Mus musculus: one gene and its partner. The protein of the gene in region 1 purifies or fractionates together with the protein of each later gene. This does not show direct contact. Links are inferred from orthologs where the notes say so. Each region holds a gene or a part of one and is shown in the gene's direction. Other genes may lie near its edges.

Region 1 (6,273 bases):
GTTCTTGTTCTTGCTGATATACTTACATGTTAGAGGTAGTCAAGTCATCTCTCTTCCCTCTGCTATAAAATAATGAAGATGAGGGGGTTGTTTTTCCTAGGAAATATGCAAGAAGTAGACAATTCTTTGTTTGTGGGTTATATTGATTTGTTTTGTTTTGTTTTTCTTTAGAAAAGACTTTTACGATAAATTTAAACAAGAAAGGCAGAGCTGTGGACCTCAGGCTAGAAGAACTCATGGCCACCATTGTTAGCTCACAACCTGCAGCTGCTGTGTTCCCAAGGCTCTCCCTCCCACACCAGCGCCCTGCGCCTTGGGAGCCCAGCCGGAATGAATGGACTCCACAGGGCTCGCAAACAGAGCTGCGGGCGACCAAGACTCTGCTACTGAAAGGGAAGCCATCTGTCAAAATCCACATTTTTAGCTCGGTGCCCAAACAAATATCTCTTTTCCTCTAAAATTTCATCCTGCAAATTATCAGTGGTCCGCAGCTCGGAGACTCACTATATAGAGATCTTCCTTGCTGACAACGGAGCCTTTCTACATAGCAAGAGAGTGCCACTGTAATCTATTTCCTAGGAGTGAAAGCAAGGCATTTTTGTCCCAAGGGGCAATTGAGCAAGGACCACAGTCTCTGGCTGAGCAGCCTTGGGGAGAGCAGCTACAGTTCCCACAGTCAGAAGCCCAGCTGCGGAAGGGGCTATTTACAGAATTCAGGGAACTACATAAAACTGCAGCAGGGCTGGCACTGCACAGTTGTCTGGGGATGAAAACATCACAAAATGGTTTCCTTTTATATTATAAAACGCTCCTCTTTTTAATTTGGCATCTCAGTTATTTTTTACTTGATATCACCCCTCCCCCTCCAAAAAAAAAAAAAAGACTGGAGAAATACAAGCCCACACAAAGAGCTAGTTTTTAAACTCAATTCTTTCTCCTTACAGTTTCTGAATTCCATATTAGAAAGGATGGCTCATTTCTAGGGACAAAATAACACAGGCTCTGGGGTGAGGTAGGGTGGGGTAGGGGGGCGGGCACGGAGGGGTGATGGGAGAGAATTACAGCTAAAGAAAGAAAGCTCTCTAGTATTAAGTACTACTTTGTATATTATTTCTCTCTTCTCTTCTTTCTTTCTTTCTTTCTTTCTTTCTTTCTTTCTTTCTTTTTCTTTTGGTTTTTGAGACAGGATATCACACTATATATCCAGGGTGGGCACAAATTAGCTGCAATCCCCGGCTTCCCAGTGCTGGGATACACAGGAATAAACCACTAAGGCCAGTTAAGATGACCTTGAGCTGCAAGTCTTCCTGCCTCTGACTCCCAGGTGCTGTTGAGGTCACAGGCGTGGTCTACTCGTACTGACTTTTGCTCAAATAATAATAAAGAATAACAATAATACAATAACTATGAAACTAAACATTCAGCCACGCCTTTTTGACCACCCCCGTATCTTCTGCTACTTTTTAAAGCAAATAGAGATGTTGAATTCTGACAGAACGTAATTAAATTCAGTATATTAAAAATGAAAAGCTGGAATTTTCCAAAAAGATTCTAAACATAAATTCTGTGATTAAGTGTTGGGAAAAACCTTAGATGATTTTTAAATACAGTTTAAGGTTTAAACTACGTATAATCATCCAACCCCAGTTTTCTTTCTTCCCTTTCCACCCCTCCCCAACTCCACCCCATAATGGATGCTCGGCTAGCTGCCTTTGCACGGCCTTTGTCTGAAGGATGCAAAGTCTACGGATGCTAGGGGGAAGGGGTGGGGGAGAGATTACCTCATACCATGTCGCTTGCACCAATCACCACTCTCCTGTCGCGGCTTCTCTGGGCAGACAGAGGGGTCTGGACCAACAGGAAAAGGCCCTGGCCCATCCCCATGGTGACAGAGCTGTATATAAGGAGCCGCATCCGCCCAAGTGCCGCAGGTTCTCTTACATCGACCGCCTAAGAGTCGCGCTGTAAGAAGCAACACCTCCTCCTCGCCTCCGCCATCCACCCGGCAGCCGCGAAGCAGCAACCATGGTGAGCAAGCCTTCCCCGGCTCTCGGTAGATAGAGGGTGGGTGTCAGTCGCCCCAGATCTGCAAGGAAACGTCTAAGGCTTTGGTCACCTCTGCGGGGAAAGGGTGGTCTCCATGCTTTAAGTTTATCTTAGTCTTTGAGTCCCGCCGCCGCAGTGCGGGACACGGAAACGCCCAGACCGGGAAGAACAAAGGCAGCGCCGATGAGCTAGCGCTGGCAGAGCCAGGGACTGCAGGGGACCACGGGGACCGCCGGGGACGGGTGGGGGATCGAGGGTCCGCTGCTGTAGGAGGGCAGGGGCGGCGGCCGAGCCCGAACTCCAGAAACACCGCCCCACTTCGCTAGGAAAATGTTTAGTTTGCGTCGGATCCATGGCAGCCGCTGTCAGGGAGGCGCAGGGGCGGGGTTGTTTGTCTCTTGCTTCCGTGGCGTTTTGGGAGGGGTTGGTTCTCACTAAGCCTCTTCCGAGCGGTTTTTTTTTTTTTAATTATTTTTATTTTTACTTTAAAAAAAATCGTTGTGGAACTGTAGTCATGGGATGTTTCGTCTGCAGGGCTGTCAAAAATACGATTTGCTTAACGGGGACATCTCGCTGAGGGGGGAGGGGAGCTGGATGGTTGGGGAATGACAAAGCCCACTTTGTGAATCCTAGAGTACGCTGATGGTCAGAACCCAGGGAAACGCCCTTCCCCGCCCCCCACCCCCGCAGACAATGAAAGTAGTCCCTCCACAACAGACGTGTATCTCTATAGAATGAAATATTAGTGGTATGTAGAGATTCATAGGATAAAAATATTATTTTCTACTTTTAAATTTAGCTATCTTTTCACTTGTTTTTTTAAAAAATGTTGGCGCTCATTGTTTCTAACTTAGCCTGCTTTAAGAATATTTCCATTCCATACAGTGGAAAACCTTCAAAAAACAATGGATTTTCTGCAAAGAAAAAAATTATACTCTGCACCCAACCATCTTTTGTTCTAATAAATGTGCACTAATTCATTAATTCAGGCTAATGGCCCCAGCCAGGGTTAGGAGGGACCATGAAAGCAGCACAAAGAGATCGCATAGACAGCTGCTGGAAATAGAGCTTTCTCTGTTAAATAATGTAACAGCACAGGCTAGCACCAGGCACAGAGAACGTGGCAATGCAGAAATCAGACTTTGTCTAGCTTGTCGACTAGCCAAAGTACTGATGGGGTCTGTCTGCAGAAGGGTGTGGCTCCTGGCCTCAGCCGCACTGCAGATGTCAGTGTTGAAATAGAAGGTCCTATAGTGTGAGACTCTTTATTATGTAGCCTAGCCAGAGTACTGATGGGGTCCACAGAAGGGTGTGGCTGTTGGCCCCAGCCGCACTGCAGATGTCCATGATGAAATACCAGGTCCTATAGGATGAAAACTTCATCCTTACTTATCGGGTAAAGAAGCAATTAGTATTATTATGGATAATTATTTTGTTTTACAGAATCTATGCTTTAAATATTTTTCAAATATGAAAGCTGTTCTATTCAAGCAAGGCTTTGGAAACAATGGGTTTGCACCATGTCTTAAGCAGTATTAAGGTGACATCTAGGCCACACCCACTTTTGGTGTTTGTAGTGAGTACTCCTCATTGTTCCTGTTATTAGGGATGTGACTCCAAATAAATTTCAACAATATTTCTATTTTTAGAAACACTTTAGAAATCTATTAAGATCTAAAATAGAAATACAGCTTAATATTATAACAGCTTAATTTTATAATTTTTTTCCCTCTTTCCACAGCGTGAGTGCATCTCCATCCATGTTGGCCAGGCTGGTGTCCAGATCGGCAATGCCTGCTGGGAGCTCTACTGCCTGGAACATGGCATCCAGCCTGATGGCCAGATGCCAAGTGACAAGACCATTGGGGGAGGAGATGACTCCTTCAACACCTTCTTCAGTGAGACAGGAGCTGGCAAGCATGTGCCCCGGGCAGTGTTCGTAGACCTGGAACCCACGGTCATCGGTAAGCTGGCTGGGGGCTTCCCCAGGCATTCCTTCTTGGTCACATACTCAGAATCTCTCTCCAGACCCAGAAGGGTGAGTGAGCTTGTGTGTGTCCTCGGTGGCCGATGGCTGACGTCTTCTCCCTTTGCAGATGAAGTTCGCACCGGCACCTACCGCCAGCTCTTCCACCCTGAGCAGCTCATCACAGGCAAGGAGGATGCTGCCAATAACTATGCTCGTGGCCACTACACCATTGGCAAGGAGATCATTGACCTTGTCCTGGACAGGATTCGCAAGCTGGTAAATGCCATATATGGATGGGTTTAAAATGCAGTGGGAGGGTGTCTTGGTATCTGTCAGAATCTGTCAAGTCTTTTCTATCAAGCAAATATGGCTCCCAATCTAAAGGAATTGCAAATAGTGCTAAGAGTATGCCCTCCTAATAAAACATTACATTTCCTTTTCTCCCACAGGCTGACCAGTGCACAGGTCTCCAGGGCTTCTTGGTTTTCCACAGCTTTGGCGGGGGAACTGGCTCTGGCTTCACCTCCCTGCTGATGGAGCGGCTCTCTGTGGATTACGGAAAGAAGTCCAAGCTGGAGTTCTCCATTTACCCAGCCCCCCAGGTTTCCACTGCTGTGGTTGAGCCCTACAATTCCATCCTCACCACCCACACCACCCTGGAGCACTCTGATTGTGCCTTCATGGTAGACAATGAGGCCATCTATGATATCTGTCGTAGAAACCTCGACATTGAGCGCCCAACCTACACTAACCTAAACAGGTTGATAGGTCAAATTGTGTCTTCCATCACTGCTTCCCTCAGATTTGATGGGGCCCTGAATGTTGATCTGACAGAATTCCAGACCAACCTGGTACCCTACCCTCGTATCCACTTCCCTCTGGCCACTTATGCCCCTGTCATCTCTGCTGAGAAAGCCTACCACGAGCAGCTTTCTGTAGCAGAGATCACCAATGCCTGCTTTGAGCCAGCCAACCAGATGGTGAAATGTGACCCTCGCCATGGTAAATACATGGCTTGCTGCCTGCTGTACCGTGGTGATGTGGTTCCCAAAGATGTCAATGCTGCCATTGCCACCATCAAGACCAAGCGTACCATCCAGTTTGTGGACTGGTGCCCCACTGGCTTCAAGGTTGGCATTAACTACCAGCCTCCCACTGTGGTACCCGGTGGTGACCTGGCCAAGGTGCAGAGAGCTGTGTGCATGCTGAGCAACACCACAGCCATTGCTGAGGCCTGGGCTCGCCTAGATCACAAGTTTGATCTGATGTATGCCAAGCGTGCCTTTGTGCACTGGTATGTGGGTGAGGGCATGGAGGAGGGTGAGTTCTCTGAGGCCCGTGAGGACATGGCTGCCCTAGAGAAGGATTATGAGGAGGTTGGTGTGGATTCTGTGGAAGGCGAGGGGGAGGAAGAAGGAGAGGAATACTAAATTAAATGTCACAAGGTGCTGCTTCCACAGGGATGTTTATTGTGTTCCAACACAGAAAGTTGTGGTCTGATCAGTTAATTTGTATGTGGCAATGTGTGCTTTCATACAGTTACTGACTTATGAATGATTGATTTGACAGAGACCCAAGCTGCCCATTTCACTTATGGGTTTTAAATAAAATACTCCCTGTCTTAAAAGTTGTCTTGTGTTCTATATTTGAGTGTGTGCCAGCTTTCATGCTTTGGCTGAAATAAATACCACGACCTCAGAGGAAAGGGTTTATTCTACCTTACTGTCTGTCCATCAAGCGGGGCTGGGGCAGGAGCTGAAAGGGGCAAAGAGGGAATGGCACCTCCTGGCTTGAGCCACGCTGTGCTCTGTCTGCAGTTTATCTGACCCAGGACCACCTGCTCAGGGGTGGTGCCACCCACTGGGGACCCAACCTTCCCACACTAATCATTAATGAAGAAAATGATGCTCCCAAAGACCTAATTACAGACTAGTGTGATGGAGGCACATCTTCCCATGTGACTGCACATTGTGTGAAGTTGACAGGTTACCACCACATTATATGGAAATTATGTACTATATAAAAAAGATTTTGTGGTGTAGGCCTGTCGTATCAACAGTTGGGAAGCAGAGGCAGGAGGATTAAAAGGTCACATACTATATAACAAACTGCAGACCAGCTTGGGCTACGTGAGACCTTTTCATAAAAAGCAGTTGGGAAATAGAGTATATACATATATACATACATACATACATACATGCCAGGCATGTGGGTGTATGCCTTTAATCCCAGTACTCAGGAGGTAGAGGGAGATCTCT
Region 2 (6,344 bases), on another chromosome or scaffold:
TAAGTAAAAACTAGAAACTGAGTAACAAAAATATGGATTTTTTAAATTTAAACTTGGTATAAACATGAATCAAACAGATAAACTGGAAAAAAAAAAACTTTAAAAACTCAAGGAAGCCTCCTAGTAATCTACTCCTGTAATTCCTTACAAGGTGAAGGAGAGTCAGGAGGTTCAAGGAAGCCCCTCTGGCCACACAGAGAAGCAGCCAGGCTAAGCTGTGTGAGACCCAGTTTTAACAACTCTAAAAAACGCTATCAGGGAAAACAGAAACTAGCTTTAGAGGTAAGAAAACAGTTCCTATTCCTTAGTCCAATCCAACTGTGGTTGTCTTGTTACATTTCTACAGGGCCCCAGCACAACCTTTATCTTCCAGATACACCTGACGTTTGTACACATGAAAGGCCTCAGATTTGGTTTAGACTGTCCAACAAGTGGGTATTTTAGAACTGGCCAAGTGATGATGTTTGCAGACCGGCAAAGGCAGGGTAGGGTGATGATTTAACACAGAAACAGACAATGCAGAGTACATACATAGATAGATGACTGATAGAACTCAAAATTCTTCTCAGAAAAATATAAATAAATAAAATGTTACTCACGTATGCCAATGTCCTACCAAAGGTTCAGGAATATCTGCTTACCTCTTTTTATTCTCCTGATTTGACTAACAGTAACTTTCAGGCCACTCTTTGAGAAGCCCTACCCCCATTCTAGAGGAAGTTCTCAGCTTCCCTGCTCTACAGAACCCTCCTCTGTTGTCCCTCTTAATGCTCACATCTAAATCTGTAATAAACCCTGTTCCTCATAAACACTAACTCTGCCACAAGAAACCCAGAATCTATTCCGCAGACCAGTTTACATTCTCCAACAGACCTAAAACCAAAATACAAGCCTAGTCTTTAAATTCTTCTTGCCAGATAGCCAACTGCGAGGTCCACACACTTAAGTGTTCCGACATACACTTCAACAGCTTTAACTTCAAAACCATGTCTGTGTGAGCCACAGCGATGAAGTGCCACAAGGCTTGGTTTTGTTTTCGGTTACCTGTAGTGTTTTAAATTAAGTTGAATGGCCATTACTTAAAGATGAAATGGAACAGATGGTTGCAGACGCCCAGGAAGTCAACTCAACTGAAAAGGGTAAAAGAACTTAATCGAACGTGGCACAGGCATGCTCCCCAAATCTCCGCCTAAGTAGCTCATAAACACACACTCCTTCCCCTGAAAAGGCTTTTTCTTTTAAGGTTAGAAAGCAGCGACCCTTGACTGGTTTCTTCCCCTCCTCCTTTCTTAAGGGAAGCGGTAGGAAGCCAAGACATACGCAAAAAAAAAAAAAAAAAGAGGCCGGAAAATGGAAAGCCAGAAAGCAGGACTGGGCAACCGGGACTTTAAATAACCCCAGAAGTGTTTCCAACTTGGCACACGGGAGGAGGGAGCCGCTGGGCTACCTCTCCGCAACCCCGAGCACCTCCGAAGTTCCTGAGCCGCTCTGGGAGGCGTTCCCAGGGCCAGGGGAGGCGAGGGAGCCGTTCCCGGCCCGCCCCACCCGGGCTCTCCGGGCCCGGCTCGCACTCACCTGGGCCGTAGGCCTGGCTTAGCAGCGCCCGAGCCCGGCCCCACACCGCCCGGACCCCCAAACGACCTCCGAGCCCCTCAGCCCCACGCCTCGGACCCCAGCCCGAGCCCCGGCCGCGGGACGCGCCCCGTCGAGGCTCGCCCATCCAGGGCCCCGCGCGACTCCCGGAGGACCCCCGGCCCGAGCCCCGCCGCCTACCTGTCTTCGCTCTTGTTTTTCTGTTTCTTCCCCATCGCTTGTCAACGGCGCTCGCGGCCCCGGCCCCTCGGTTCGGTGTCTCACAGACCCACTGTCTCCCGGCTGACTCCAATGCCCGCTCGGCTCGGTCCCCCTCGCGCCGCCGCCTCTCGCACCCGGCTCTCCACAGACCCGCGCACTGGGACAGGGCACATATGGTGTGAGCCCTCAGTACGCAAGCGCATCGCCCCGCCGCCTCGGCGTGGGGACGCAGGGCGCGGCTCATCGAGAGCGGCGCTTCGGCTAGAGCGTCTCCAGTAGAGCCGCCGGCCAGGTGGGAACCCAGGCGCCCCCTCGCCGCAAGTGAGCGCCGCGCACCGACGTCCGGCGGATCCCGGGTTCTAGAACCTAGAGGACGACAATGAGGCCGTTCATTTCTCACGTCGGCACCCTTCCCGGGGCTGGCTTTCGACGCAGAAGTGGGACTGAAAATTCTCCCCTGCCTACGCGGCCTCAGCTGCGGGAAGTCCATTACAGGACCACAAAGAGTCAATGATGAGCGTTCTGGGGGTGGCAGGACAAAAAATGGGATCCCTCTCAGAAACACTCATGAATTGTCAACTGTGTACATTTATTAAGGGGAAAAAGACATAAGGACACAGCAACGGGTCCCCTAATATGAATCTTCGTATGAGCAAGTTCTAAAAATTCATGTGCCTAAGAAAGTCAGGAGGGAAGATCCTGGCATGGTGAAAATTTTCTCCATGTTTCGGGGCGATGTTACTAGTGTGAGCTGTGTATAAATTATAATGTACTGTAAGCTACACTTTCGAAACTATTAAACACAACGAGAAATGAAGCCCCTCTGTCACTCAGGCTCAAGACCCGGCTCGTTTCCCGGTAGAGCCGGGACCCGCAGTCAGTGCACAAAGAACTACAATTCCCAACGTGCCTAGCGCCCATCCCTCCGGCCATTAGCCCACGTGAAGCGTAGGCTCGGAAGCCAGTAGTTCCGGGTGGCGGAGGATAGGGCTTCTCCGAGGCTTTCGTCACTCGCCACCGCCCTTTCCGCGAGTGTCTCACATTGTATCGCGAGAGGACTGTAGCCAATGAAGTGGCGGAGTTAACAGCCCCTTCTCTGCCCTTAACAATTGCTGCGAGGTTGAAACCTGTGTGAACCCGGTGGGTATTCTTGATCTGCGGCTTCCTCTCTCCGTAGGCCTCATCAATAGTCCAGGTACGGCTGAGGGTGATGTGGCCGATAGTGCCACAGCGTCCCAGTGTTGATGAAGGACACATCCTCGGCTGGGATCGAGGGAGCGGCTGGGAGGGCCTCGTCTGGGCGGCTGCGGAGGCTACGGCGCATGCGCCCCAGTTAGTGCGAAATCGGGTCCCCCCGGAACTACTCCACCAGTCTCTTGAGCTCAGGGAGTGGCGAAGAGTCTGCTGACAGGTACATGGGGTTAGGGTTTCGGTTAGGAGTTTGTAGGGGAGTACATAGGTGTCAGGGCCCCCAGTTCGTCGGTAAGAATAATACTCGATTTGGTTCAATAAATAGAAAGTTATGTCCTTACCCCCAATATAAAGGCAGTGACCACCTCCGCCTAATTCAGGGCAGCACTTTTAGTCGCGTGAAGCTCCGCATTTAAACGTAAAGGTCTCCTGTGAAATTCTCGGTGATAAACGAATACTGTGATGCAGATTCTGAGTGGCTGGTCTCGGATCCTTCTCTCTCTTCCCCGAGTTAGGGATCCTGGGAGTACAGCTTCTTTTCAGTTGTATAGTATTTATGAGAAGCTGACAGTTGGAGTTTTTAAATGACCTTATGTAGCCCAGGCCTATCGCTCCAAATATGAGGTGTGACCCTTATGCTTCTGCCCTTGAGAGCTGAGGTTGTAATCATGAGCCACCATGCCCAGGCTTATTTTGTGTGTGAGCTGATTAGTTTTAGCTGTCAACTTGATAGAATAATCTACGGTCACCTAGGAAGAAAGACTCATTGAGAAATTGGGTAGATTAGGTTGGCCAGTGGGCATGGCTCAGAGAGTAGGGATTGTCTTGGTTGCATTAATTAATCTACTCCCAGATTAATGTTGTTCTCCAGCAGATGTTGGACACAAGTAGACGTGTGTGTAATTACTTCTCTCTGCTTCAAGAGCCTGCCTTTAGTCGTAGAAGCGATGGGCTGTCACCTGGACTTGTAACGTTTATGTCAGGATATTTTTGAGGAAGTATGCCGAAAAGCAAGCTAGTGTATTTAGGGATTTCCCTGGATTCTGGAACCATAAATGAGATCTTTGATGGTTTACATCTTTATTCTGGTTTTGGCAGGTGTTGGGGCCTACATGCTGAGTTCTAAGGCCAAAATAGTGCCTCCAACATGGCATCTGTTGTGTTAACCTCTCAGGCTCTGTTACAGAGACCCTGTTTTAAAAAAAAAAAAAAAAACAACAAAGCCCCCGAAATGTAAACTTAATACTTATTTTTTATGCCCCCTCCCCCAGCACCAAGACCACTTAGAACAATGGAAGGTAATGGATCCGTCGACATGTTCTCAGAAGTCCTGGAGAACCAGTTCCTCCAGGCCGCTAAGCTGGTGGAGAATCACTTGGACTCTGAAATTCAGAAACTGGATCAGATTGGTGAAGATGAACTGGAGCTGCTCAAAGAAAAGAGGCTGGCGGCGCTCAGGAAGGCTCAGCAGCAGAAACAAGTAACCTCCCGCCCGCCCGCCTGCTCACTGAATCACTGGAGCCCAGCTCCCGACTGCACTGCAGTCATGTGACTTTCCCTCCTCACTTGCAGGATGTTCTGAATTCACATCTCCGTCAATGTTCAATACTTAACCCAGGGATGAAACATTAGGGAAGGTTTAGGCAAGATGAAGCATTTGACTGGGGCGTTGATAGTAAAAGAGAGATGAAACGTCTTCTCATAGACCAAGCTTAGGGTCCACGTATCAGAAAGAAGTATCATGGTTCTGTACGAGAAGATATTTAAGTGTTAGACTCTGCATTTTTATTAGGTTATCTTTTGTGGGGGGGCAGGACAGGAGCAGGATCTCACTGTATAGCCATGACTGGCCTAGAACTCACAGACAACACCGCTTCTGCCTACGAAGTGCTGGAGTTGAGCGCCAGCACCCCTGTTCTGTTTGTGGTTTTCATGGCCACTCAGTGACGTGGTTGGTTTGTCACACTGACTTACAAGAGAGAAGGTGAAGGCTCGGAAGGTTCATTAGAACCCTGGTCAGTTAATGCTGGGGTGGGTGTTGCCACTGCTGCCTGAGGAGGGAGAGTGAGCATCTGTTTGAGGTGTCAAGCTTTCTGCCACAGGAAAGGTAGAAGGGGCTGGAAGAGTTCCCAGGATTGTGGGTAATGGCCCTTCCTCAGCCTGGGAAGCTGAACGTTTCCTTGTGAGGCTTTTCCTTGGCTCTGGACCCCACATGGATATAATACTCTTCCTTCTGAGGACTCTGCCCACTGTTGGCTGGTGTAGAAGCCCTCCCTGTTTTGAGATGGATAGGTTCTTAAGCTCCTGAGCGGTGATGACTGCACTGTCCCCAGGATAGACGGACTTTATTTCTTGAGGTGGTTTGGTTTGTTTAGTTTTTGCTGTGGATAGGACATTGTTTCTAAGTATACCATGCTCAGTCTGTATAATGTTGCTTGTGTGTACATTTTCAAGGCTGACCGTTCGGTAGTGGATAGCCAGTTGGTGTGCTCTCCCTGGAGAACACTCTTTCTCCCACACTCAGCATCCCTTAATTGTCTGTAAGAACATTATTTTCTAAAGTGTAGAGCTCTTCCCTAGCCTGCTCTTCCTGGTTTAGTCCCTCGCATCACAAAATAAACAGAAAAACACTTTTGTAATCATTTGGATCAAACAATCCTGATTTTACTAGTTTAAAGAGCATGCATGTGAAAGTTAAATTGGTATTTTCATGTCATGTCTCTCAGACCTAAATTCTGACTGTGAAACTTAAAATGAAGCAGGTAAATCAATAAGATGCAAAACTGTCTTAATTGAACCATCATAGAGACGGTCACTCCTGCCCACAGACTAGGTCTGCACTAATTGCCACTTCGGCATAGGAAAGCCAACTGCGGATGGGAACACCTGCTATTTATAGAATTGATTCCTTTACAGAAGTACACAGTGATTGAGACATGTAAGACACTTGGTGTCACTGAAACACATTTCAGCTGGGTCTTTTTTGCTTCTCTTGAAATTAGGAGTGGCTTTCCAAAGGGCACGGGGAGTACAGAGAAATCGGCAGCGAGAGAGACTTCTTTCAAGAGGTCAAGGAGAGTGAGAAAGTGGTTTGCCATTTCTACAGAGACACCACATTCAGGTAACCTGGCTCCTGACTTCATCTCTATGGTGATGAGACATTAACGTAGACACACTGCTGACTTGGTAACTGAGAAAATTAAAAGGATAACTGCCATGTTCCTGCGTGGTGATGTGCTCACAGGTGCTTTCATTATTGTAGAGATTTAACTAACAAGCCAGCAATGTGCAAGTAAATAAGTCAGTCTTATTGGAAGTCAGCACTCCTGTGGCTTCTCCATGTAACTCCAAAGACAACC

What was found. The genes of interacting proteins can lie anywhere in the genome.
Region 2: the proteins of Tuba1a (region 1) and Txndc9 purify together in Homo sapiens (affinity purification with mass spectrometry; 3 studies listed by BioGRID and IntAct, counting the BioPlex papers as one, with this or other methods). This does not show direct contact. The link is inferred for Mus musculus from reciprocal best matches to the Homo sapiens genes TUBA1A and TXNDC9.

Annotation. Positions count from the first base shown.
Region 1 is NC_000081.6:98,949,206-98,955,478, reverse strand, and holds Tuba1a (tubulin alpha-1A chain), read left to right. Parts: upstream 1-1,977; 5' UTR 1,978-2,025; coding exon 2,026-2,028; intron 2,029-3,787; coding exon 3,788-4,010; intron 4,011-4,142; coding exon 4,143-4,291; intron 4,292-4,464; coding exon 4,465-5,445; 3' UTR 5,446-5,632; downstream 5,633-6,273. UniProt on the Homo sapiens protein: Tubulin is the major constituent of microtubules, a cylinder consisting of laterally associated linear protofilaments composed of alpha- and beta-tubulin heterodimers.
Region 2 is NC_000067.6:37,993,754-38,000,097, reverse strand, and holds the start of Txndc9 (thioredoxin domain-containing protein 9), read left to right. Parts: upstream 1-2,889; 5' UTR 2,890-2,989; exon of another isoform or gene 2,990-3,205; intron 3,206-4,256; 5' UTR 4,257-4,276; coding exon 4,277-4,465; intron 4,466-5,987; coding exon 5,988-6,106; intron 6,107-6,344. Other genes in the region: Eif5b (eukaryotic translation initiation factor 5B), read right to left, coding at 1,774-1,808. UniProt on the Homo sapiens protein: Significantly diminishes the chaperonin TCP1 complex ATPase activity, thus negatively impacts protein folding, including that of actin or tubulin.